4 linked regions of the Arabidopsis thaliana genome follow. The protein of the gene in region 1 interacts with the protein of each later gene in a pairwise test. Each region holds a gene or a part of one and is shown on either strand. Other genes may lie near its edges.

The links.
Region 2: the proteins of CLA1 (region 1) and GLDP2 interact in a two-hybrid assay, tested with the Arabidopsis thaliana proteins (one study listed by BioGRID).
Region 3: the proteins of CLA1 (region 1) and NMNAT interact in a two-hybrid assay, tested with the Arabidopsis thaliana proteins (one study listed by BioGRID).
Region 4: the proteins of CLA1 (region 1) and AT5G23490 interact in a two-hybrid assay, tested with the Arabidopsis thaliana proteins (one study listed by BioGRID).

The regions. Positions count from the first base shown.
Region 1 is NC_003075.7:8,882,297-8,888,198, reverse strand, and holds CLA1 (Deoxyxylulose-5-phosphate synthase), read right to left. Parts: upstream 4,375-5,902; 5' UTR 3,982-4,374; coding exon 3,832-3,981; intron 3,549-3,831; coding exon 3,423-3,548; intron 3,340-3,422; coding exon 3,024-3,339; intron 2,918-3,023; coding exon 2,646-2,917; intron 2,559-2,645; coding exon 2,285-2,558; intron 2,208-2,284; coding exon 1,900-2,207; intron 1,818-1,899; coding exon 1,536-1,817; intron 1,458-1,535; coding exon 1,173-1,457; intron 1,086-1,172; coding exon 945-1,085; 3' UTR 532-944; downstream 1-531.
Region 2 is NC_003071.7:11,108,475-11,116,027, reverse strand, and holds GLDP2 (glycine decarboxylase P-protein 2), read left to right. Parts: upstream 1-1,736; 5' UTR 1,737-2,241; coding exon 2,242-3,474; intron 3,475-3,639; coding exon 3,640-3,885; intron 3,886-3,990; coding exon 3,991-4,068; intron 4,069-4,160; coding exon 4,161-4,261; intron 4,262-4,358; coding exon 4,359-4,554; intron 4,555-4,627; coding exon 4,628-4,753; intron 4,754-4,835; coding exon 4,836-5,021; intron 5,022-5,114; coding exon 5,115-5,228; intron 5,229-5,303; coding exon 5,304-5,456; intron 5,457-5,553; coding exon 5,554-5,742; intron 5,743-5,828; coding exon 5,829-5,906; intron 5,907-5,988; coding exon 5,989-6,114; intron 6,115-6,214; coding exon 6,215-6,313; intron 6,314-6,399; coding exon 6,400-6,517; intron 6,518-6,606; coding exon 6,607-6,698; 3' UTR 6,699-7,025; downstream 7,026-7,553.
Region 3 is NC_003076.8:22,583,466-22,588,078, reverse strand, and holds NMNAT (nicotinate/nicotinamide mononucleotide adenyltransferase), read left to right. Parts: upstream 1-1,792; 5' UTR 1,793-1,839; coding exon 1,840-1,889; intron 1,890-2,062; coding exon 2,063-2,136; intron 2,137-2,531; coding exon 2,532-2,617; intron 2,618-2,794; coding exon 2,795-2,827; coding exon of another isoform or gene 2,828-2,889; intron 2,890-2,923; coding exon 2,924-3,063; intron 3,064-3,165; coding exon 3,166-3,319; coding exon of another isoform or gene 3,320-3,346; exon of another isoform or gene 3,347-3,410; coding exon 3,411-3,512; intron 3,513-3,607; coding exon 3,608-3,666; intron 3,667-3,753; coding exon 3,754-3,850; 3' UTR 3,851-4,094; downstream 4,095-4,613. Other genes in the region: WYR (inner centromere protein, ARK-binding region protein), read right to left, coding at 1-852, 1,255-1,483, 1,715-1,792. UniProt on the Arabidopsis thaliana protein: Catalyzes the formation of NAD(+) from nicotinamide mononucleotide (NMN) and ATP. Can also use the deamidated form; nicotinic acid mononucleotide (NaMN) as substrate.
Region 4 is NC_003076.8:7,917,846-7,925,400, forward strand, and holds the start of AT5G23490 (uncharacterized protein), read left to right. Parts: upstream 1-1,531; 5' UTR 1,532-1,985; coding exon 1,986-2,138; intron 2,139-2,436; coding exon 2,437-2,499; intron 2,500-2,698; coding exon 2,699-2,994; intron 2,995-3,110; coding exon 3,111-3,210; intron 3,211-3,289; coding exon 3,290-3,367; intron 3,368-3,902; coding exon 3,903-3,962; intron 3,963-4,064; coding exon 4,065-4,169; intron 4,170-4,450; coding exon 4,451-4,561; intron 4,562-5,003; coding exon 5,004-5,045; intron 5,046-5,191; coding exon 5,192-5,305; intron 5,306-5,382; coding exon 5,383-5,522; intron 5,523-6,268; coding exon 6,269-6,507; intron 6,508-6,577; coding exon 6,578-6,699; intron 6,700-6,784; coding exon 6,785-6,827; intron 6,828-6,910; coding exon 6,911-7,002; intron 7,003-7,287; coding exon 7,288-7,336; intron 7,337-7,548; coding exon 7,549-7,555. Other genes in the region: AT5G23480 (SWIB/MDM2, Plus-3 and GYF domain-containing protein), read left to right, coding at 23-93, 206-662.

The sequences.
Region 1 (5,902 bases):
CTCATCCATTCTAACTTTAATCTATAGATTAAATTGATCAATTTATTTAAGATTTACATTATAGTATATTTAATTGGTGAAGATAAATTTATATATAAAATTGATTACATTCATCTTTATGAACCAAAAAAAATAAATCCTAAAATCATCTTTTTAGTGAAAGAGGAAGTATATTAGATATAAACATAATTAAGATACTATATCTTTTCTTTTCATTTTTTTATTCAATTTAATTATGATTACACTATTTTATATTTATTAGGTATAGATAAATTCCCAAGTAAAGTATACTTAATAAGTAAAACTGAATACATTCATCTTTATGAAAGCAAACTATAATCATAATCATCTTATTTAGTGAGAGTAATTATTAGATAAGATTATAAGAACATAATGAAGATACTCTATTATTGTCTAATATTTTCTTAACAAGAGAACTCTCTTCTGTAGATAGAGTCTTTCAATGCCTTTAGGCTCTTTGGGGATATTTTGAAAAAAAAAATACTTGTATCCAATCTTGTAAAACCGGATTGGAATGTAAACCGGAAAGTGGTTCGGGTCACTGCATTGGTACGTTCGATCGTCAGTCAATGAGGCCATATATATAGGTCCAGGTTTAAAAACACTGCTCGTACCAAAATATGTCACACAAAGCTATGAAAGATACACAAAGAGATGTAATTGATTTTTACAAGATGTTAGATTATTGTACAACACGATCTCCATCACAATCCTAAACAAAATTACAAAACAAATACCAGTTTTATCATAATACTAATCTTTGCACAACCTTTGCCTTTGCCTTTCTCTTCACAATCTTAGTAAATATATATAGCTGTTGCCAAAGGACTTCTCGGCGGGAATTCTGATCAGTACTTAGAAGAAACCTTGGGTTGCATTTAGAGTGTTTGTATACATATGTTTTAGCCAACAGATTCTTACTCTCAAAACAGAGCTTCCCTTGGTGCACCGATTAAGTTAAGTGCGGTTGCTGCGATGTGAGATGGCATGAGTCCAGCTTCAGCTAGTTGATCAGCTGGTGCACCGTGATCAATGTATCGATCAGGCAGTACCATTGGTCTCCACTGTATATTCAAACAGTTGCAAATTAGAAACAGTATTTTTTGAAAAGACAGAAAAATATTAGAGAGTTTCTGGAAGTAATAAGTAACCTTGAGTTTGCCATCAAGAAGACCATCGAGAGCAAGAAACTGAACAACGTGCGAGCCAAAACCTCCAATGGAACCTTCTTCAACCGTGATCAGAACCTCGTGCGACTTAGCTAAGCTGCGAATGAGAGCACGGTCCAATGGCTTGCAAAACCGTGCATCCGCTACAGTTACGTTTAATCCGCGTTCTTCGAGCATTACAGCCGCTCCTAAACAGCTCTGAACTGCTGAGCCATAACCCAACAACGCAACTCTCTCTCCTTCCTTTAAAATTCTACCTTTCCCAATCTGAAATACACCCAAAGAGATTTTCTATCTCAAAATGATGAAGGAAGAGAGACATATTTGAGAGGACCAAAGTTATACCTCAATTGGAACACCTTTGTTTCCGGGAGGTAATGCAACTCCAATACCGTTACCTCTAGGGTAACGGAAACAAGAAGGACGATCATCAATCGCAACAGCAGTTGCAACCATGTTAAAGAGATCTGCTTCATCTGATGGAGCCATCACTATCATGTTAGGAAGACAAGCCATAAATGTCACATCGAAAGCTCCACAATGTGTCGGACCATCAGCTCCAACGAGTCCAGCTCTATCCATTGCAAATCTCACCGGTAATTTTTGCAAATCAACATCATGGACAACCTACAGAGAAGGCCACCATATACTCTATTAGTTTCTTAAAATGTTTTATTACAAAGTAAAATGATTAAGATGTTGAACTTGCCTGGTCATAAGCACGCTGCATGAAAGACGAATAGATTGCACAGAAGGGTTTAAGGCCTTCACAGGCTAAACCCGCAGCAAAAGTAACTGCGTGTTGTTCCGCTATTCCTACATCGAAACATCTTGTTGGGAAGCGACGTTGAAAGAGATTTAACCCGGTTCCACCTCCCATGGCTGCATGAATCGCAACCACATCTTTGTCTACCTCTGCTTCTGCGACTAATGCCTCCGCAAAGTAAGTTGTGTAAGATTGAGTCTTATTAGTAGTTTTGAACTGTCTACCCGTTGCTGGATCAAATTTCACAACACCTGAAAGAAAAATAATCAATATATATATCCCACTGCTTAGGAACTAGAGAAAACGTTATCTATCTAACTTGTTTTACCATGGTATTTGTCATCAGCTCTCTCCGCGTAAGGATAACCACGACCTTTCTCCGTCACCACATGAATAAGTACAGGTCCTGTGGTTCTGGTACTCTTAACTTCTTTAAGAATGGCTACCAAATCATCTATGTTGTGCCCATCAACTGGACCAATATAGTAAAGACCGAGTTCTTCAAACAGTGACGATCCAGTCCCGCTTATCATTCCTCGAGCATACTCATCTACCTTAGCCGCCAACTGATGCATTGGTCCGCCTATTTGCTTTGTCATACCCTATACGCAAGAAAAGCCAAAATTCTCATCAAGTCCATAAAGACCAGTATTCTTTACCATTCTAGAAAAGAAATGCAATAAACTTGCCTTTGCGACTTCTCTCAACTCTCTGAGAGCCGGGTTAGACTGTAACCGACTAAGAGCACTGCTCAATGCACCAACAGGTGGACTTGGTCCATCCAAAGTAGCTGTAGGTAATGAGACTTGCTTGTTGTCATTAAGAATCACAATCATATCAGAGTCTAGATATCCGGCGTTGTTCATGGCTTCATAAGCCTGTCCTGCCGTCATCGCACCATCACCAATCACAGCAACCACATTGTTGTTCTTCCCCTTCAAATCCCTTCCTACCGCCATTCCTGTAAAACTCATATATCTGATTCAGTTCTGTTTTCTTATTACAGTTTACTGTCTAAACACAACAACACAAGGCAAACACACCAAAGGAATGATTGATTGTATTACCTAAACCAGCAGATATTGTGGTTGAGCTGTGTCCAGTACCAAAGCAATCATGTTCACTCTCTCCTCGTTTGGTGAAACCAGAGAGACCATTGGTTTGCCTCATTGTAGGCATCTTTCCTCTTCTCCCAGTAAGAATCTTATGAGGATAAGACTGATGACCAACATCCCAAAGAATCTTGTCTTGTGGAGTATTGAAAATGTAATGAAGAGCCACAGTAAGCTCCACAACACCAAGACTTGACCCCAAATGTCCACCGGTTTTCGACACATTAAAGATCACGTCTGATCTCAGCTCATCAGAAAGTTGTTTCAGTTCCTGCAATAAGTTGTTACCAAATGCCACCAATCCATCAATTTGTAAGAAAGCTAAAACAAATGCATCAAAGCTAGAATCTTTACCTTGACAGAAAGATTTTTCATGTGGATTGGGTAGTTAATAGTGTCAAGTAATGGAGTTGGTGGTCTGTTTGAATAATATTCACCCTTCTCTGCAAGTGAAGCACACACTTTTGCTCTTCTGTTTGACTGTACCACAACACAAAACCCAAATCGCAAAAGCTGTCATTTTCTCTAATCAGTTCCCAGAAATCAGAACCAAAGAAGCAATATTATTGGTCTAATTTCACTATATTTTCCACAGATTTCCAATAAAGTAACTAAGAAAAGGAGTCAAATTTGTTTGACTTTTGTCAAAAACAAAGTAAACCCATTATTTAATTCAAGATTTCAGCAAATGGGCAAGCTACAAAATCTCATAGTTCTTAAATCAAGTTCCATGATGAAGCAGAGAAGAGAGAAGTGAACTTACATGGGAATTGTTGTTGGGTTTCAGACATGGTGATGGAAGATCTGTAACCAAAGATCTAGAAGAAGACAAAGAAGTTGATTTACAAGAATCAGTTGAAAGTCCTCCTTTGGTTATTATGTAAGAAGGAAAAGCAAATGCAGAAGAAGCCATTGGAGGTACTTTTTGAAGCTCAAGAAAGTTGAAAACTTTAGGAATGTAAGTAAAACATATAAGGATTTATAGAGAATAAAATTTAGGCAAATTTTGAGGTTATCAAAAACAGTAAAACAAATGAATAAAACGCACTTTCGAATCCCACTACAAGTGAAAGTGTGTGTTTAAATGTGGTGGTGACAATGGTGGTGGTGGAGAGTTGAAGAAGTATAAAGATGGAGACTTTAAAAAAATGGGGTGATGAAGTAAAACGACAAGAAAGCCAACTTCATGGATCACGAATTTTATGTAACCGTGCTGATGATATTAAAAAAAAAAAAGAGAGAGAAAAAAAGAGATGGTGAGATGGTTCGTCATCCGCAGAGAACTTGAGATTTTGGTTGGGCCACGTCAACCATGAAATCCAAGTTTTGGATAGATATTGATGATATTATTTATATACGTTAGTACATGTGTATATTGTTTGTTCCTTATTTCATTTATAAAGTTCTTTAAAAAGAAAATGAAAGAAAAGAAAATAAATAAATATATTCACGCATACATACCAAAGACGATAAAGGCAATATAATCTTTTGTGGTATAAAGAAATGGAATTTAAAATGATTATAGAAGAATTGTAATTTGATTTTTTTTTAATAAAAAAATTAACAAGTTTAGCAGGTACTGACAAAGAAAAAAATCTTTACAGTTTTTGATAAAATTGGAAACGTATATTTGTATACAGAAAAAAATCCTACTTTATATATTTCTATATATATATATAATTTCACACTATTATCTTCAATGATATTCCTCTGTTTCTACAAGAATAATTTTTAGATGTTTTACAAGAAAAATTTTTAAAAATAGCTTTTACAGTTTGTTATTTTTATTAATTTAATAATATTAATTTTACTTTTTTCTTTGTTTTTGTCAACAATTTTCTCCTCTTTCTATCGGTAACAAATGAAAGTAAATAATAATGTTGATATAAACATCAAACTATTAGAAACAAAAGGAGTATTTAATATAACCAAGATAGTGCGGTAGTGTCGTAACTCGTAAGTGTATGATTTGGGTTAGTAACTTAGTATTATCGATCTTATTACATTAATAAAGTTTAATATCATATTAAACAACTACATAGATTAAATTTTATGATATTATCACATTATTAAATGAGCGAGAATCACGTTACAAATCCGACAAAACATATAATATTTGACATTCTTGATTATTGGGTTTCAATTGAGTCAAATATGAATAAACAAAACTTACATGAAAGTTTAAGTTTAAGTGTTTAACTAACGACAGTTCCATCACAAAAAGAAAAATTGTAATCACGCGGTTCATTTTATAATATATCAAAACTTATTAAGAAAACAAGCATGTTAAATTGATATGTTAAATTTTTAAATATTGCATTTTCAAAATGATATGTTATTTTTAACTAATTTTTAATGGTGGTTTTTCGATTTTCAATTAGTTTGAATATAACAGTTGGATAAAATTTTGTCGAAACTGCTTGAAATGCAAGATGACAATATTATCAGCTTGTCAGAAATACGTATATGCCAAATTTTCATCATAACGTTTTTTGGAAACTCTCAGATTCAAAGATATTTCTTGAATCTTCTGACAGACAAACTATTGTTTGATCATAATAAACCGACAAAACAATTAATGTATATGCACGTATACATCATAAATATACAAATACGTATTCTCTACCAAAACATTGTAATAGAAAATCGCCTAAAATGTACGAGGCATTCAAATTACTATGTTATTGTTGAAAGCATACCATATTGACGACTTAGTGAATATGACTAAGTAAACTAGATCAATAAACACAAAACCTAGTTCTCAAACTTGATTTTTTCATAAAAAAGTTGTCTTATCAATAGATTGAGAGGTTTTCAAAAAGTTCAAAATATCA
Region 2 (7,553 bases), on another chromosome or scaffold:
TATATGTTATAGACAGATACATCAATATCCCTTTTTGTAAAATTAGATTTATGTGCCCAGTATAGGCACTGGGTGATGGATGATACATCTTGTTTCATTTGTAAAAGAAATCAAATTCAATCTATTTATTTGTTATATTAATTTTTTTCATCAAATACTGTTTCAAATTTTATGATACAGCGGAGATAAATCAGACATGAGACTATGTCAAAATTGCAGGAGAATTATTCTAAAGATAAAACCGTTTAGTGGATTTGGTTACCAAAATGTTGATATGGCCGAGTTGGTCTAAGGCGCCAGATTAAGGTTCTGGTCCGAAAGGGCGTGGGTTCAAATCCCACTGTCAACATAATTATTATTATTATTTTTTTTTTTAAATTTATATATAGGCTTCAAATCAAACAGTGACACTTTTTTGGTACAAATCAAATAGTGACTTATATATTAGAGAAATTGTTGGAAAAAAACAAATGTGATATCCATTGCTTTTGCGGAAACGTTGACAAATTATTGGCGAAATGGTGACTTATATATTTGAGCAACATACACACTCGTTTTTATCTTATTTTTATCCAAAAAGGGGAAAGTAGATGAATTATGTGGATTTTATTAGTGAATATGTGATGCATTTCATTAGTGAATTTGTTTGTTTCGAACACCTAACAATCAATTATGTTTGAGAGGATATTTTCAGGGCGGTCCTGAGGAGAGCAACATGAAACATTTGTATGTGACCTCATAGTTTTTTTCAAAAAATTACATTAAAATTTATTTGTAAATAGGCCCCCAAAAATATTTAATTTGAAAAAAACCTTAAATTGCAAAACAGTTTATACTCCCTCCCTCTGTTCCATCAAGATTGATGTTATAGGTTTTTTTTCTTGTTCCAAAAAGTTTGATGTTTTAGATCAATATTATTAGTATTTTTATTTGTGACCAATATAGAGAAGAGAAAGGCAGTGTCTGATATTATTAAACAAACAAAAGAATAATAAAAAAATAAAAAGTTATTTTTCTTAATTTGTGTGAAAACCCACAACATCAAACTTCATGAAATAGAGGGAGTATTAATTTCAAAATATATAATTTATGGTTTAGACCCCAGATTGTCATGACCGACCGTTGATACTTTGCATAGCTTAGAACTTTCATCTCTGCGTGTAGTAGAGAATGACTAGTTTGGTAACCTAATTTACTTATAGATCTTTAAACATATAGATCATTTGACCCAATTTACTGCCACGCGTTTTAAATGTACTAACTACTAAGTATGAATAAAATGATCAATTTGAGTCACAAAAAGTATGTTTATTGTGATCAATTGTGAAATGCCAACTCTTTTACAGGTATTACTAGGTTGATGGGAAATATTTTGCTAGGGTCCCCGACCAAACCGCACTAACAAAAACATGAAATTTAATTAGAAAAAAAAAAGTTGCAATATTTGGAGGACGATAGTTCCGTTGTCAAATGATGAACAACGAAGAAACCGTACATTGATGAGATAAGTTTTATGTGAAACACATCTTGCCACCTATATTTATGTAACTATGTGAACCATAATAATCATAAGCTCTTTACAATATATTTTCTTAGTTTTGTTTGTAAAGCAAATTTATGGAAGAAAAAAAAAATTGTCGTCCACATATTTCCAATCTCTTCCACTTTGATTCTCTTCCATTCAATCTTTCTTCGAGGTTTAAAGCATTTTCTATGATACAAAAGTATAAGAGATGTGTATCCAGTTGCAAAACTTATACTATGAATTGACTATACTATTTTGATAATTTCTATAACCATAACGGCTGCATGAACTATATACTTAAAACTATGACTACGATAGTCGCAATAAATGTATCGTACTATCCTTCGAACTCTTATACGATTTAAAACCTTAGCATATCAAACATTTAAATTTCTAGATAGTGATATCAAAATCCTACAGCCGCAATTTTTCCAGAAAAAGGTGATAATTTTTTTTTTTTATCAGCATATTGCTTCGATGCAAAATACGTGGAATCTATGCAAACAAATTTGTTTCTTCTGTATAGTTGCTTATTGAGTTGAGTGGTTGTCAGTCACCAACCCTCTTCAGATCTCAAAGCCACAATAAAATACGTTAAATTAATAATTACCAACCTCAAAACTATAATCTATATATATATATATATATAATCAGCATTTTCTTCAGTGTCTCTCTACTCTCTCTCAGATTTGCATTTGTTTTTTTTTGGTTTGGTTATGGAGCGTGCAAGGAGACTTGCTTACAGAGGGATCGTGAAACGTCTCGTCAACGAGACAAAACGCCACCGTAACGGCGAATCCTCTCTTCTTCCGACGACGACTGTTACTCCCTCAAGGTATGTCTCCTCCGTCTCCTCCTTTCTCCATCGCCGTCGTGATGTCTCTGGATCGGCTTTTACCACCTCCGGTAGAAATCAACACCAGACACGATCGATCTCCGTCGATGCGTTGAAGCCAAGCGACACTTTCCCGCGCCGGCACAACTCAGCAACACCGGATGAACAAGCTCAGATGGCGAATTACTGCGGATTCGATAATCTCAACACGTTGATTGATTCGACTGTTCCGAAATCGATTCGGTTAGATTCGATGAAGTTTTCCGGGATATTTGATGAAGGATTAACGGAGAGTCAAATGATTGAGCATATGAGTGATTTAGCTTCGAAGAACAAAGTTTTCAAATCGTTCATTGGTATGGGATACTATAACACTCATGTTCCTCCTGTGATTTTGCGTAATATAATGGAGAATCCTGCTTGGTATACTCAATATACTCCTTATCAAGCTGAGATTTCTCAAGGAAGACTCGAATCTCTGCTCAATTACCAGACGGTTATTACTGATCTCACCGGTCTACCGATGTCGAACGCTTCGTTGCTCGATGAAGGTACGGCGGCGGCGGAAGCAATGGCGATGTGTAATAATATTCTAAAGGGGAAGAAGAAGACGTTTGTTATTGCTAGTAATTGTCATCCTCAGACTATTGATGTTTGCAAGACGAGAGCGGATGGTTTCGATTTGAAAGTTGTGACGGTTGATATTAAGGATGTGGATTATAGCTCTGGTGATGTGTGTGGAGTGTTGGTTCAGTATCCGGGGACTGAAGGGGAGGTGTTGGATTATGGTGAGTTTGTTAAGAATGCTCATGCTAATGGTGTTAAGGTTGTTATGGCTACGGATTTGTTGGCTTTGACGATGTTGAAACCGCCGGGTGAGTTTGGGGCGGATATTGTTGTTGGGTCGGGTCAGAGGTTTGGTGTTCCGATGGGTTATGGTGGTCCTCATGCTGCTTTCTTGGCTACTTCACAAGAGTATAAGAGAATGATGCCTGGGAGGATTATTGGTGTTAGTGTTGATTCTTCCGGGAAGCAAGCTTTGCGTATGGCTATGCAGACTAGGGAACAGCATATCCGCAGGGATAAAGCTACCAGCAACATCTGTACCGCTCAGGTAAAAATGGCTTCAAACTCTATAGGATTTATGTAGTGTATACCGCTTTGACTATTACTGATAAGTGATAACAAAAGCGGGAAGAATTAGAGGTACCGAGAGAGCAGTACCATATTTTACATCTTCAAACTATTTTGCTATTGATTATCGTTTTCTACATTGTAGGCCTTGCTTGCAAATATGACTGCTATGTATGCTGTTTACCATGGACCAGAAGGCTTAAAATCTATTGCACAACGGGTTCATGGTCTCGCTGGTGTATTTGCCTTAGGATTGAAGAAACTGGGAACTGCACAAGTCCAAGATCTTCCCTTCTTTGACACTGTCAAAGTTACATGTTCAGATGCAACTGCAATTTTTGATGTGGCAGCCAAGAAGGAGATCAATTTGCGTCTTGTGGACTCCAACACTGTGAGTTTCTTCATATATATATATATATATATATATATATATATATTTCTTCAATATCTGGATATGATTATTAACATTGATGGGTTTTTTTTCTTGTTCTTTAAGATTACTGTTGCTTTCGATGAAACAACCACCTTGGATGATGTCGATAAACTTTTTGAAGTTTTTGCTTCGGGCAAGCCCGTGAGTTTACTTTAAGCTAATATCCATTCATCTCGCTTGTTCACTCTTTTTTTTCGTGTTTGCTTAAAATAATGTTTTCTCCAATGTACAAGGTTCAATTCACGGCTGAGTCTCTTGCACCGGAGTTTAACAATGCTATTCCCTCTAGCCTAACAAGAGAGAGCCCTTATCTGACCCATCCAATCTTCAACATGTATGTTACCTTCTTTAAATCTTGGTTCCTTCATTGCCCTGTGGCTTATTGTTAAGTACCTCACATTTACTTTCCCTTTTTTCTTACATTTGGTTAGGTACCACACGGAGCATGAGTTGCTTAGGTACATCCACAAGTTACAAAATAAAGATCTATCATTGTGCCACAGCATGATTCCACTTGGATCTTGTACGATGAAATTGAATGCCACCACTGAAATGATGCCAGTCACATGGCCAAGTTTCACCAACATGCACCCTTTTGCTCCTGTTGAACAAGCCCAAGGTTATCAGGTGAGGCCACATATTTGATTTACCTGACTAGAAATTTAACTACGTACTGAATTTTTTGTTTGACAACTTATAGGAAATGTTTACGAATTTGGGTGAGCTCTTATGTACGATCACTGGATTCGACTCTTTCTCATTGCAACCTAATGCCGGTGCTGCTGGCGAGTACGCCGGGCTCATGGTTATCCGTGCATATCATATGGTAAGCATACCTGTAGTTTCTTGTTTTCCAATATGAACTCGCACTTCAACAAATTTGGTAAATGGGTGAATAAATGATGCAGTCAAGAGGCGATCATCACAGAAATGTGTGCATCATACCTGTTTCTGCACACGGGACAAACCCTGCTAGTGCTGCCATGTGCGGAATGAAAATTGTTGCCGTTGGAACTGATGCCAAAGGAAACATTAACATCGAAGAGTTGAGGAACGCCGCCGAAGCCAACAAGGACAACTTGGCTGCTCTTATGGTATGTATTTACTTCTTTCATCACTATAGATGAAACAATGTCACTTTTGGGTCAATCCACTTTCTAATTCTACAACTTCTGTTTGAATATTAGGTTACATACCCTTCCACCCATGGAGTCTACGAAGAGGGTATCGACGAGATCTGCAACATAATTCATGAAAATGGAGGCCAAGTTTATATGGATGGTGCTAATATGAATGCACAGGTATGGTTTCTCTGCTGGTATGTTGACTGAAGAATCCAAAAGTTGTGAATTTGAGAAAGTTTTTGGAACTTCCAGGTGGGTTTGACAAGCCCTGGTTTTATTGGAGCGGATGTTTGCCATCTCAATCTCCACAAGACCTTCTGTATCCCTCACGGAGGTGGAGGTCCCGGAATGGGCCCTATCGGTGTGAAGCAACATTTGGCTCCATTCCTACCTTCTCACCCAGTGGTTAGTGTTAATTCTTATATGTTATGATCGCTAATCCATCTTTCTCAATGATTGAGTTATCTGCTTTTTTGTACTCATTCTGTTTACTCTGCTACAGATACCTACCGGTGGTATCCCTGAACCCGAGCAGACATCACCGCTGGGAACCATTTCTGCAGCACCATGGGGGTCTGCGCTTATCTTGCCAATCTCGTATACTTACATTGCCATGATGGGATCTGGAGGACTCACCGATGCCTCAAAGATTGCAATTTTGAACGCTAACTACATGGCAAAGCGTCTGGAGGTACCTTATCTTATCTTGACAACTCTTTAAAGAGAGTGAACGTCTCTTCTCTTGTGCAACCTCACTTATGCTTTCTTGTCTTTCAGAGCCACTACCCAGTTCTTTTCCGTGGTGTCAATGGAACAGTCGCTCACGAATTCATCATTGACTTGAGAGGATTCAAGGTATGTTTCTTTATCTCGTTTGAGTAAATGCTCTGTTTTTTGGTTGTACATGCTAAATCAATGTCTTGTTCAATGTCCTCAGAACACTGCTGGAATTGAACCAGAGGATGTGGCCAAACGATTGATGGATTATGGTTTCCATGGACCGACAATGTCTTGGCCTGTCCCTGGAACGCTTATGATCGAGCCAACCGAAAGCGAAAGCAAGGTAATTATGTCTTGCATTGCATTGCAAATCTCTCACTGACTCAGCTCTCAGTCTCTAAAACATGGCTTCATAATTTGTATATATATATGTAATATTTCAGGCTGAGTTAGATAGGTTCTGTGATGCTCTCATCTCGATCAGGGAAGAGATTTCACAGATTGAGAAAGGAAACGCAGATCCAAACAACAACGTTCTGAAGGTAAGAAAAAATTTGAGACCACAATTTCAGTTCGGACTAGCCCTCTAGTCTGATACTAATGAACTTTAAAAAACAAACACACACAGGGTGCTCCACATCCTCCGTCATTGCTAATGGCAGATACATGGAAAAAGCCGTATTCACGGGAATACGCAGCCTTCCCCGCTCCATGGCTCCGCTCCTCCAAGTTCTGGCCCACTACAGGTACTTGAAAACTAGGGGTGGCATTTCCCATAGAAAACAATTTGTTATTTGTAAATCGTTTCAAAATGTATTAAATATGTGTGAAACAGGGCGAGTGGACAACGTGTATGGAGACCGTAATCTGGTGTGCACTCTCCAACCGGCGAACGAAGAACAGGCTGCAGCTGCAGTGTCTGCTTAAATGAAGCCACTATGAAGCGATTCGCACTCGCACCAAAACCCACAATGGGGCGATTCGGACTCATACCGGATCCAGAAACGTATCTTTACTGGCTTTTACTTCTCTTCCCAGCCTCATCATCACTTTCACTTTCACTTCCTGTACAATGTACATACGTAGTCCTAAGTTCTTCCCTCATTTATTTAATAAAATACATTTCTTTATGTTCCACTTTCTTATACGTATAACATTCCATTTGGATGATGTGATCACCATCGTGGTTATATTTATGCCATATGATCTCTTTGAAAAAAGTTTGAATTCTTAGGATATTTATTGTTTCATTTTATAATTAGGAAATTTGGCAAAATAACCATAATTCTAGGTTTTATAAACAAACTGACTGACAACATATAGGTTCTGAATGGTTGCATGTAGAGTAAAAAGTGGAAGTGAAGGAGACAAAAAAATTTAGTGAAAGAAACAACCAAATATTAAAGGAAAGGAATCTAAATTTTGAAGTAGTTATTTTTTCTCTCTCCTTTGGGTAGAGTTAGATTTTTTTTTATAAAAAAAAGCTTAATACCAACTTGAACTTCCTTTCCAAAGAAAACTAGGAACTTGGTAGAGTTAAAATTTAATTTCACTTTTCTACATTTTGGCCAAAAAAAAACAAAAAGCAGTTCTAACCAATGCTAATCTTTTCTATTTTAGAGACACACATTGGAACAAAATCAACTCTAAAATAGTGAAAAAAAATAAAGGTAGGACATGGGAGATGCTCTTATGTTTCTGCTAATTTTTTCAATTGCCACTAATCAGACTTGTAGCATTATTCTACTAAATATCAGATTGGACATTAGATCACCTATACTA
Region 3 (4,613 bases), on another chromosome or scaffold:
CACCACTTGAAGATATTGACACTGAATCCACTTCATGATGCAAGGTAAAAGACTCTGTAGGTACACTAATCTTAATACATTGATCTCCTCTTTTACCTTGAGAATTACTGTTCTCCACTTCTTCTCGACACTCTTCATCATTTTCATCATGCTTAAATAACTTTATCTCACTAACACTATCAGACCTTAATGAAGCAATCCCAAAGCCTATATCACCACCCGGAGAAGGTTTGAGCTCATTTCTACTGTTTGAACGGCTTTTTGACGCTTTTGCACTACTACGAAGCTCCAAAGCTTTTTGACGTGACCTTGATCTCTGCATCTTAGCAAGTGATAATCCAGGGTCAATGCAAGTGTCTGGTTCAATTTCCTCTTGACAATAACCAAGAGATGAAGATTTCCGCTTACAACCAGTAGTTGAGACACATTTGGGAACCTTTTCCCCTTGGCTACATCCAGGAGATGTAGCATCAAGATTAGTTTCAACTCTCTGATTCTTGGAGTGTTCGGGAGATGAACAACTTTGATTCTCTCTGCAATCGATTGAGACACTTTCTGGCAATCTCTCTTTCTCATGTACATCTCTAGGAGATGCAATATTAACATCCTGCTCATGAGAATGATTCGAAACTTGTCTGACTAAGTTGTGTGAGAGGTTGTGTTGCGGTTCCTCTTCAAGCAACTGCTCTTCTAGCGGGTTATTTACCACAGAGGTCAGGTCTTGTCTTACTACATTGTCAGCTAGAAACCTGACAGGCCGTTGGTATGAAAAGGGACGACTGCTAGGACAAACGATGGAAGGTCTTGATGAAGGAAATAGAAGTTCTGATATAATCTCCTCCTTATTTAACTCTGTATACATATAAACAAACATCACAATAAGAATCGCAAACAGAAACTCTTCTATTCAATCGTAACTGAAACAGATATACACGCAATGTACGTTAATACTAGCCTTAACAAAATGCTCCTTAACTTATCACAGAAAAATCAACATCAAAGTGTGATTATGAACCCTAACACCATTTCTAATCTTTCAATTCCATCTTCTCACAGTAATTCGACATCAAATTTATGGTAATACGCTTTATAAACTTTCAATCCATTTCCCGTTTAAGTATCAAACAACTTCGCAGCATCATTACTCAATAGCCACTAAGACTACTAATCAATTTTGCTCTAATTAGCCAAACAAATCTACATTTACCATCACGGACAAGAAATTGAGCACTAAAAATCAGATTTAACAACTACCGGAAGTTTGGGAAGGTAGAGACGGAGACCAGAGCCACGACGGAGGAGATACTCCGGCGAGTAGGCATTTGGAAGCTAAATGCTGGTCATAGAGATCTACTTGTTGCTGAACCTGCTCGACGATTCGCCTCTTCCTCTCAAAGATCTGAACGAAAAGATTCTCAATCTTCACATTCGCCGTCTTCCCCCTCGGATTCTCCTTGACGGAAAACATCGCCGACGACCTACTCTAGAGATAGAGCGAGAGAGAGAGAGAGACTGTTAGCGCGGATTTGAATTTCAAAATTTTGGGGATAAAGATTTCATTTTCGCTTTCGTTTTTCACTGAAAAAAATAGAATGAAGCTTTTTTAGCTTTTTTAACCCTCGCTACCTGAACGATGCGTTTAGTTTTAAACGGCTTCGTATTGTGTCTAATATCTATCTTCTCGTTAGCTGTAAAACGTTTCGTTTTAACAAACCTTTTTCATACGATGTCGTTTCTCTCTATCTTTTAATACTTTCGCCGTCGTCGTCTTATTTTCGCTGTCCCTGATCATTCGCCGGAGCTACCATTAAGAGACTGAGATTCAATCATCAGAGTTCAATGGATGTCCCGTTACCAGTCGAGAAATTATCTTATGGATCAAACACTGAGTAAATTTTGAAGCTTATTCTCGATTTTGATTCCCTTCATTTGTCTTTTTTGTGAAAATTCTGATTTTGTAAATTTGATCTGCTTGGTTACTTATGATGATGAGATTCTCACCAGGTTTATTATTAAAATTCCGTCCGGGTGTTGAATATTTTCGATTGTTTGTCTGAAACAGGGACAAAACTTGTGTAGTGCTTGTGGCAACTGGGAGTTTCAATCCTCCTACTTTCATGCATTTACGCATGTTTGGTCAGTTCTTTTACCAGAGTAGATATATAATTCATTTTTTTATATGTTTATCAATGGCGTTTCAGATTCTATCAATCCGAAAGTTTTCACAATTTGAGGCATAATGATCAGTGTTTTGACTCGTTTCAATGGGAAAATCCAATACTGGTTTATAGTCAAAAGTAGCTTAAGATTATATGCCTTGTTGTTTACTTCTTGAGTGAAACCGTTTCTTGAGTATATGATTGTGTTAGCTTTGTATATTTTGGTTTATAAAACCGGCATATGACAAGAATGAACTGCAGAACTTAGAGGTTTCAATTGTTGATTCTTGTCCATTGCTGTGACCTTTTGTTCAAATGTATATGTTTCTTTACATCAAACTGATAAGTTCTCTTCCTTTTTTTTGTCGCTAGAGCTGGCGAGAGATGAATTACGCTCAAAAGGATTTCATGTTCTTGGAGGATATATGTCTCCTGTTAATGATGCATATAAGAAGAAGGTATTTGTCATCTTGAGAATCTTAGTTTCTTTCCATAATGACTCTTTTTTTTCTGAACCTATGCTAATGGACATGTTATGTGTGATGAAACTAAGAGCTTCTTTTTCTTTTTTAGCTCCCAAAGTTCTTCTGTTTACTATTCTGTTTAGTTTCCCTTAGAACTAATAATTTCATCAGATTATGTGTAGGGCCTTTTATCTGCAGAACATCGTTTAGAGATGTGTAATGTATCATGTCAAAGCTCTGACTTTGTAATGGTTGATCCGTGGGAGGTACTTTCTTATTCCTCGAAAAGCTTTTAATCAGTTCTCTTTAGTGGAACAATGCGTTGTTTACAAAAATGTGGAAGCTGTTTCTACAGGCATCTCAAAGCAACTACCAACGAACTTTGACGGTTTTATCAAGGGTCAAGACTTTCTTAACAACAAATCGACATGTACCCGAGGGTAAGATAACTGCAAGAAGTGTCCTGTGTCGCCTTTAGCATCTTTCTATTCAAAGTTTATCTCACTTACATTTTGGGAGTAATTGCTGGGTCGTCTGAATAGTGTTGCTTGCTATGTTTTTATCATACGTGCTAGCCACTACGCAAATGACAAACACAAATTTATTCTAATGCTAGAATCTCTCAAAGTCATGCTACTATGTGGCTCGGATTTACTGCTATCTTTCTGCACTCCCGGTGTTTGGATCCCTGAACAGGTAAACCAAGGTAGCATTGTTATATAAACGTAGATGTGTTTATCAAATTTACTCACAGTTATGCTCCTTTTTCAACACTTGGTTTTTGAAGTTAAGAACTATTTGCAAAGATTATGGCATTGTGTGCATCCGTAGAGAAGGACAAGATGTTGAAAATATGATCTCTGGTGACGAAATCTTAAACGAAAACTGTGTAAGTATTACCAGGTTTCTGTTCTGACTCTGCTGTATCAGTCCGTGATTGTGCACATGGTTTACTGAATAGTGCCCCCTCGATTTCTTTCGCAGGCTAACGTCAAAATCGTTGACAATACTGTTCCTAATCAAATCAGTTCGAGTAGATTAAGGTAGTGTGAGATTTATTTATCCTTCCCGAGAACAGTTCATATACACTAAAAAATGATTTCTCTTGCTCATTCCTCTGCTTCTTTCAGGCAATGCATTTCGCGAGGGTTATCGGTTAAATACTTGACTGAAGATGGAGTAATAGATTATATCAGACAACATCAACTATACACTGAGCTCACATGACAAACGCTGAGAGGATTATTATACTTCATCAGATCAAATATTACAACACAACTCATCAAATAATGGTGTGATAAACAGATCAGATATATTTGTTGAGTCTCTGTATTTTAAGGTTCTTATTTATCAACTCTTTGTATCATATTCATATGTACAACAAATGTGAAGAAAAAAAAACACAAAAGAGGCGAGAGAAATGTGAAACTGATGATGGATTACTTCTATATAATATATTTGAAAGTTTTCAAAATCAGCGTCAAAGTCTAACTTCTCTGTTTCGATAAGAATGAGCTGGGGACTAGTCATGAAATACCCATGACTTGTTTTTGAGGATTCAGGGGGATGGACATTGTTTATAGCTGGGTTTCAGACAAAGCTAGGGACATCTAGAAGTGAACTCTCTGCATTTTTTTTTACTTGTGTTCTGCATATTTGATTGTGGCTTAAAAATGCAAGAACATTAAAAAAAAAAAAAACATAATACGTAAGTTCAGAAAAAAAATTAACAAAAAAACCAAAGAGAAAAAAAGAAAATTACATCTTACATAAAATTTTAAAAAATAATAAACGAAATAGAAAATTACATCTCACAGAGCCGGAATATCAAAATAGGGGGAAAATGGGTAAGTCGTCAGTACCTCGCATTTTTGTTATACATTGCCTAATTGGAATTCGGACTACAACTGCGAGAACACAAGTATTTGTTCTCCGCTTTAAAATATATTGGGAATGGACAGCGGCAGTAGCATCGATCGCATATTGGTCG
Region 4 (7,555 bases), on another chromosome or scaffold:
AACTTTTACGAATGTTTTTTAGTGGATTGCAAGAGAACTTGTAGTGTTACAAAGGCTTATTAATCAGGCCAATGAAAAGGGATGGCGAAGAGAATATCCTTTAATAAAGCATTATCAATATTAATATATTGTTTTACTTTGAAGAGTAACTAGTGAATATGAGAGACTCTTTCTGTTATATTTTTCTTGACTTCTTAGCTAATACACTATCCCAGTATCTGGAGAAGAGGGAGCTTCTTCAGAATCCGGATGAACAGAAGAGGCTAGTGGATGAAGTTCCAGAAATTGTTGCAGAAGAACTTGAACCTGAATGTGAAGATGATGATGATGATAGGACAATAGAAGATAGCCTCATTGTACCAAACCCTGAGGCTCATCAAAGTGACAAAGAGCAACGACAAAGAGATTTACCAGTTTCTTCTAGTGTCAAGAAAAGTCAAGAAAATTCCTTGCTTCTTAAGAATCCGGAAGAGCAGTTGAGGCTGCTGTGTGATGTTCCCGATGTTGTTGCAGAAAAACTTGAACCTGAGTTTGTAGATGATGATGGAAAACTAGTAAATGACGTACCGTACCAAACCCTGAAGCCTTCACTGAGGCGCATCAAAGTGATGAAGAAATACAACCAAGTGATTTACCAGATTCTAGTATCCAGAAAACTCTAGAAGACCAGCCAATATGGACTGCTTCTGCAGGTGCGTCCCATTCTTTGTAACTTCAATTCATCGATAGGACTTAAATTGGTTGGATTAATGAATCCTATTCGTCCTTGCCTTTGTCAAAGTGATGTTAGATGAATGTGTCCTTCATAGTTAACTAAGTGGTGTCCAAGAAGCGAGATATTGTGAACTTGATCTGGACCCATATATTTGTTTGTGTAAATTCCAGGTAATAAAGATCTCCATGAAGATGTGTACGAGCCGCCAGCAAATGGCATAACACTGAACACGGACTCTATCACTGAAGGAGAAATGAATACCAAAGTCAGTCAGCATCAGTCAAGTACTCCAGTGATTGATCTCTCTAACAAAACTCAAGCACACTCAAATCCAATTGAGATTATTGAATTGAGCGATGATGATGACGACGACGAAAAGGACAAAAACGATCAAGCTTACCAGAGTTATGATCCAAAGAAGGTGATGTGGTTCTATGAATACCCTAAAGGAAAAACACATGGACCATTCTCTCTCACAGATCTCAAAACGTGGAGTGACGAAGAGTACTTTGTTGGAGTTCCAGATTTCAAAGTATGGAAGACAGGAGAGAGTGCAGTGCTACTAACCAAACTTCTATCTCAGATCAAAACCTAATTGAAGAACTTGCAAAAAGCTTAGCATTAAGTCTGAAAAGTGTGCATTTTGTTTATTTCTCTAAAACGGTTGTTGCTGAATTTAGTGCACATAATGCAAAGATTCTGACTTTTGTTGTAAAAAAGTCTCCTCTTAAAATCCATGGAACATAATTATTAACATGAAGATTCCTTAAAATTATTTGAAAATCCTAATTCTTTTGCATAAATAATAAGTGCAGTATTTATTTAAATTGAAGAAAGTGAAACATGTATAAAACCCAGAAGTCAGCACAACACTTACCAGTCCAGAATTAAAAAAACTGATTGAGACAGAGAGAAGAAAGATTGCTTGAAGAAGACGAAGACAAAAGGAGGAAACTTTCTTCTCATTTCAATTAAAAAATCCATTTTTTTCTCTGGGTTTTTCTTTCTCATGTGATTGTGTAATTGATTCTTATCGTTTTCTCGCAATCATTACGGCTTCTTCTGAAATCAACACGCTCAATTTCCTTCCTTGGAAAATTTTGGGGTTTTGGTTTTGTTCCTGTTTCATTCGTGTGAGATTTGATTACTTAAGCGCTCAGATGAAATCATGATAATTAAGAAGCACAAGAGAGAGGAAATTAGAGTCCTTTGGTCAATTTATTGGGGAACTTGATTGGGATTTAGTCAGCTTCAAAGTGAGGAGCTGAAGATGGAGAATGGCCATGAGGAAAGATTGGCGGAGAGATTTTCCGGATTGGGTTTCGAAGATTCTTCTCTTTTGCCTGAGAACGAGTTTAAGAACGACAACTTGTTTCAGGTCATCAAAGCTGTTGAAGCAGCAGAAACCACCATCAAGGAGCAGGTCTGGTTCTCCGTCTGTGTCTCTATTTGAAATTGTTTCGATTCGTGGGGAAGTACTTCCTCTATCAATCCATTTCCAGGAGTTCTGTCTAAATTTCTGTATTGACATGTCTGCTTTATTAGAGAAGTAGTTGTGAAATGCAAGGTTTTATTAAGTCTGGTTGATGCATAGGGGATAATTAAGTATCTGGAGTGTAGGATCTGTCTCTTGTTTGTTAGCATTTGCCAATGCAAGATGGTTTTTGTTTGTCATCGAAGTATTTTAGGCATCTAAGAATGTGTTTTTATCCTCTAAGCAGGTGGAAGAGAATAGCCGATTAAAAGCTGAACTTCAGCGAAGTGCTCTGGAATTGGCTAAATATGTAAGTAATTGTCTAGTTAAAGGATAAGAGAGGATCTCTGGTTACTTTTGCGCAGTCTTTATCAGATATCAGTATTTTGCAATTAGTGAGAATCCTTTTCTTTTGTTATGGTGATACTTCCATGGTATAAGTTTAGTAGCTCGTAGATCATATTTGGTAAATTTTTGATTGGTAGTCTTGCTCTTGTTATCTTGCCTAGAAATCAGATGAATCCTTGCCCCAAACTTCTAATATCGGAGATCACACAAATTCTACCACTGTGTCCCGCCTGGTTCACCAGCCAGTTGACTGGAAGCCAGTTGTGATCAAAGCTTCAGATGCTGATTCATCAGGCTTGCTGGTTGTTCACCCCCATGTGAATGCTAATGGTGAAGAAGCTACTGTGAGTAATCGTTTTGAAAGCCATTCTGAAGAAACTATAAGTAATGGCACTGTTAAAAGAGCTATAGATGGTACTGGTCCCTCTCAATTCGATTCGTCAATATCTCCTATGAGGTACTGAAACAGAAACTACCACTCTTGCGTGTGCTGAGTCTATTTGTAAATCTTATGGCTTAGATGAATTTCCATGAACGAAATGCCTATAATTTTCAAGATCTGATATCTGCTAGAATGCGATTGGAGGGAGAGCATGACGCACACTTCAGTTCGTCTACTCATGGATCTATGCCAGTTGGTGAAGTAAATCATTCAGGCAATGCATGGAAGCAGGTCTCTATCATACTTACTCTACGTCTTGGTTTTATTGGTGTAAATGAAAAACTGTTTACCGGACTATGTACCTATTCAGGACCTCATTCACAAGGTCCAGGAGCAGGAACAAGAAATTTCGCAGTTGAGAAGATATCTTACTGACTGTTCTGTTAAGGTGAGTCTTGTTCGACATGGGAGATTTCTAGTCACTATTGGGGTTTTGTGTTACTAACTTTTGTGGTTCCTTGGGATTTGTTTGTGATTGAGTCAGGTTTCTTTGGTTGCATATGGGTTTTCTCTTCTTTTTTGTCCTTTAGAAGTGAGCAGAACAAGAAATGAAAATCATCTATGGTTTGGATCAATAAAAGGTTGTCATAAACAGAGTATAATATTCATGGGAAAAGATAGATTTTCTGCTACTTAGAAGGACCTGCAAATATCTTACTCCGTTTCATCGGAGAAACAGCAAACTCTCTATTGATCCAAACCAAAGATAATCTCTTCAATGGTTTTTATGTTCACTTCGAAAGGGCACAAAACAAGAGCAAAACCCTAAACAATCAGCTCAACCACAAATAAAGCCCATGCGACCATAAGCGTAAATGACATAATAAACTATGTAGTCATTAATGCTTTCTGTTGGTTCATCCCTTGCATTCTTTGTTAATTTTATGCTAAATCAGATGACTAACATTTTAGTTATCTTATAGGAAGCCCAAATTCGCAATGAAAAATATGTTCTGGAAAAGAGAATTGCCTACATGCGTCTGGTAGGCCTTTCCTTTTTTTTACTTATCTGTTTTATTCATCTCGTATTAAATGTATTTAATTTAATTGTTTGGAAGCTGAAAGATTGTTGCTGTTGTAACCAGGCATTTGATCAACAGCAACAAGATCTTGTTGATGCTTCATCAAAAGCTCTCTCTTACAGACAAGAGATAATTGAAGAAAATATACGCCTAACATATGCCTTACAGGTACTATCATTTTGTGTGTGTGGGAATACAGCACTAGTTGTCTGTCTTCTGGCATATGCTTTAATTCCTCATTTCCTTTTTCTTTGGTAACCCTATTTAGCTGGACACCTTGAATTATTTCAGTTTCCACTTCAGTTTTCAAACTAGGATTTGTCTCTGGCCCCTCACTTTCATCATGTTTTTGGATAACTTTATACTGCAACTGGTATATATATATCTACGTAAAATCTGGTTAATTTTTAAATCGAAGCCAATATGCCTGTTTTCGTTTTTTTTTCCAGGCTACACAGCAAGAAAGATCTACATTTGTATCATACTTGTTACCTCTTTTATCAGAGTATTCTCTGCAACCACAGGTTTCTGATGCTCAGTCTATTGTCAGCAATGTGAAGGTAAGATCCAAAATCTGAAGTGCTGTCTCTCGCTATCTTTTATTTTTTTTGTTATAACTTGTGTTGGAATCTTACGTTTCTTGTTTTATTATTCTGTTGTAAGTTCGGACCATCTCTAGCTCCTATCTTTGACTTTACTGTATACTGTAGCCTATTAATTTGAGAGGTTTTGTTGCACTGCATCCTATTCGATGATTAACGGAGCTTGGTTGACATAGTTTTTTGAGCTTCATGGATATGGAAGCATAAGCATTTGTTGTCTTATCTGTGAAATTTATGTGGAGTCATGGAGAACCACAGAACATAGAAATTTGGATAGGAAATTAAACGACTGATTATATATTATACTCTGCTTCACTATATATGAAAGTGAAGTTTTTCTTGCAGTTTTTATGTTAAACTAGCGATTGGCGTTTACAGCTACTGTTTTTTATTTATTTAGGTTTTGTTTAAGCATCTACAAGAAAAGCTCCTTCTTACTGAGGTATGTTATCCGGGTATGGGCTTATCTGGTGTTAAATCTCAGTGTCTGCTTCATTTTTGACTTCTGTTTTTTTCTTAGCGTTGAATTGGCTTTATTTCTTACAGACATATGATAGATGATTGTTTCTGATCTTTTTCTTGTACTAGACAAAGTTGAAGGAGTCGGAATATCAGTTAGCACCATGGCAGTCAGATGTGAACCACTCAAATGATTCCCCTTTGGCTCCATCGCGCTCAGCTGGTGTGGCATTAACCCACTCCGTATGTGCATATTCCTCAGTGTTATATCATAAGCTTGAGTGAATAGAATCTTAAATTACTTCTTGTGTTTACACCAGACAAAAGATTCCATGTATTCTCATGATCACACAGCCATAGACTGGAATTTGGAGCGCCAGCAGCAAGATGAGCCAGGTAGCTCAGCTGTGAGGAATTACCATCTTGATGATTCTAGTACGTTTTCACCTCTTGAAAACAGGTGAGTTTGTCCCTGCAAAGATTGATATTCCAAACTGTATGAAAACTATGTGCACACACTCAATATTTATGAAATCCACACATGTAGTTGCTAGAGCATTGTATATTTCTATCCCAATAGATATAATAGGGTGGGGATCCTTCACTTGGAAATCATCCAAGGAACTACAAGCGAAGCATTTTAGCTTCTTTCTCTTTCTTAGGGTTGGTCTTAACTTAGCTACCGCAGGGAATGAAGGAGTTAAATCCACATGTTCATGTTAGGTAGGAACAAGTCCGTGACTTCTTGGCCCTTTGTTTGTTGTTGACTCTTGACTCTGACTGCTTTCTCTTGACTTGTAAAACACGCTGAAAAGTATTTGATTTAATTTGGCAATGAATCTTGACGCTTGAGTCTTTCCTGTTGACTCTGAAAATTCGTAGTTCTAAGCCAATAGTTAGTATCCCTCTTCTGCACTCTTAGTGTTCATCGACTTTTTCCTATTCTTACATTTTCTAACTTCCTGTCCCCTCTGGGAAATATGATGATTTCAATTCTCAAATGTATCAGATTAGTCATAGGCCAAATAAGGTGCTGTTCTTCTTTATGTTTTTATGTCTTGATCTGTCATGAGGTGTCAGATCATCTGACTTCATCATGTCACGATTATGATCAATTTCGTAGTGCTCACCTGGTTGTATGCACTGTAGTTATTGGTGGATAACTGTCTGCAATGTTTGATGATTAAATGCATTCGTGTGTACCAGTCAGTCGGCAGCCTTTGAGATGCATGTGCAACCAGGTACCAGCGTGGACGAATCTCCTGCTCATAAGAAAGTAGACGAAACTCCACCTAAGCATGTCCAGTTTCTTGAGCCTATCAGCAAGACGGTGGTCGACGATGCTCAAAATCCATCATATGGGTCTGCGTTTGATGACCCAAGCTCCTCAAATTCTCCTCTTTTGTCCCCAGTTTTTGAAGAACCTTCTTCCTCCTTTTCTGAGGGTAATGATTAACAATACTAATTCCATTATGGTCTTTCACTTGTCTCAATATTTTGAACCACTGTTGACAGGTGGAGATGATGACCCGTTACCAGGTATAGAGGACCTCCAAATTTCAGGAGAACCTTATCCTGGACATGAACTTCAGGCTTGTGGTTACTCCATTAATGGAACAACAAGTTGTAATTTTGAGGTGCGTACTAAATAAAAAACAGAATCGCTTCCTTACTTATGTTGAATTGCATCTAATCTATCTTCTTCTGTTCTTCAATTTTCAGTGGGTCTGTCACCTAGAAGATGGATCTGTGAATTACATTGATGGTACATTCCCCTCCTGCTGAATTTTGTTTCTTATTTCTTTATATGGAAATAAGAATCTAGTCGTGAACGAACTTCTAATGCAGGAGCAAAGCAGCCAAATTACCTTGTCACTGCTGATGATGTTGATTTATATCTTGCTATTGAGGTTCAGCCTTTGGATGACAGGAACCGAAAGGTTAATATTTTTTTGTATGAATGAGATTATATGTTGAGTGGTTCTTTTCTGTGGAATACTGGAATCTTGATATGGATTTTAGTTTCCATTATTTACCTCAGCATTTTGTTTCGTCGGCTAGATTTCATGCTAAAATGTTGTAGGGGAAAAGATTCGCCTTTGGAAAGTACAGATACGATTTAACAGTTTTGTTAGATGTGCATACACTGTTGTTTTCTGCTGATTGTTTTTCAGTTTTTTTTTTCATGTGGTTTGCAATATTCATTTGCTACTTTCTGATTTCAGGGGGAGCTTGTGAAGGTTTTTGCCAATGATAACCGCAAGATTGCTTGCCGTAAGTTAATCTGTTTACTTAGAGAATCACCCTCTTGCCACTTGTCTGTTTACGTCTTCATATTAAGATGTTACGTCTTTTATGCTCCCTGAGCTGTTTCTGGTTGGTTGTGTTAGAGAATGTTTCCCTTAAATCTGAAGCATTCGTTGAGAACTTGATAATATTTATTCTGAGACCTAAATGTAACAGTAATCCTCTTTTTACTTTGACAGATCCAGA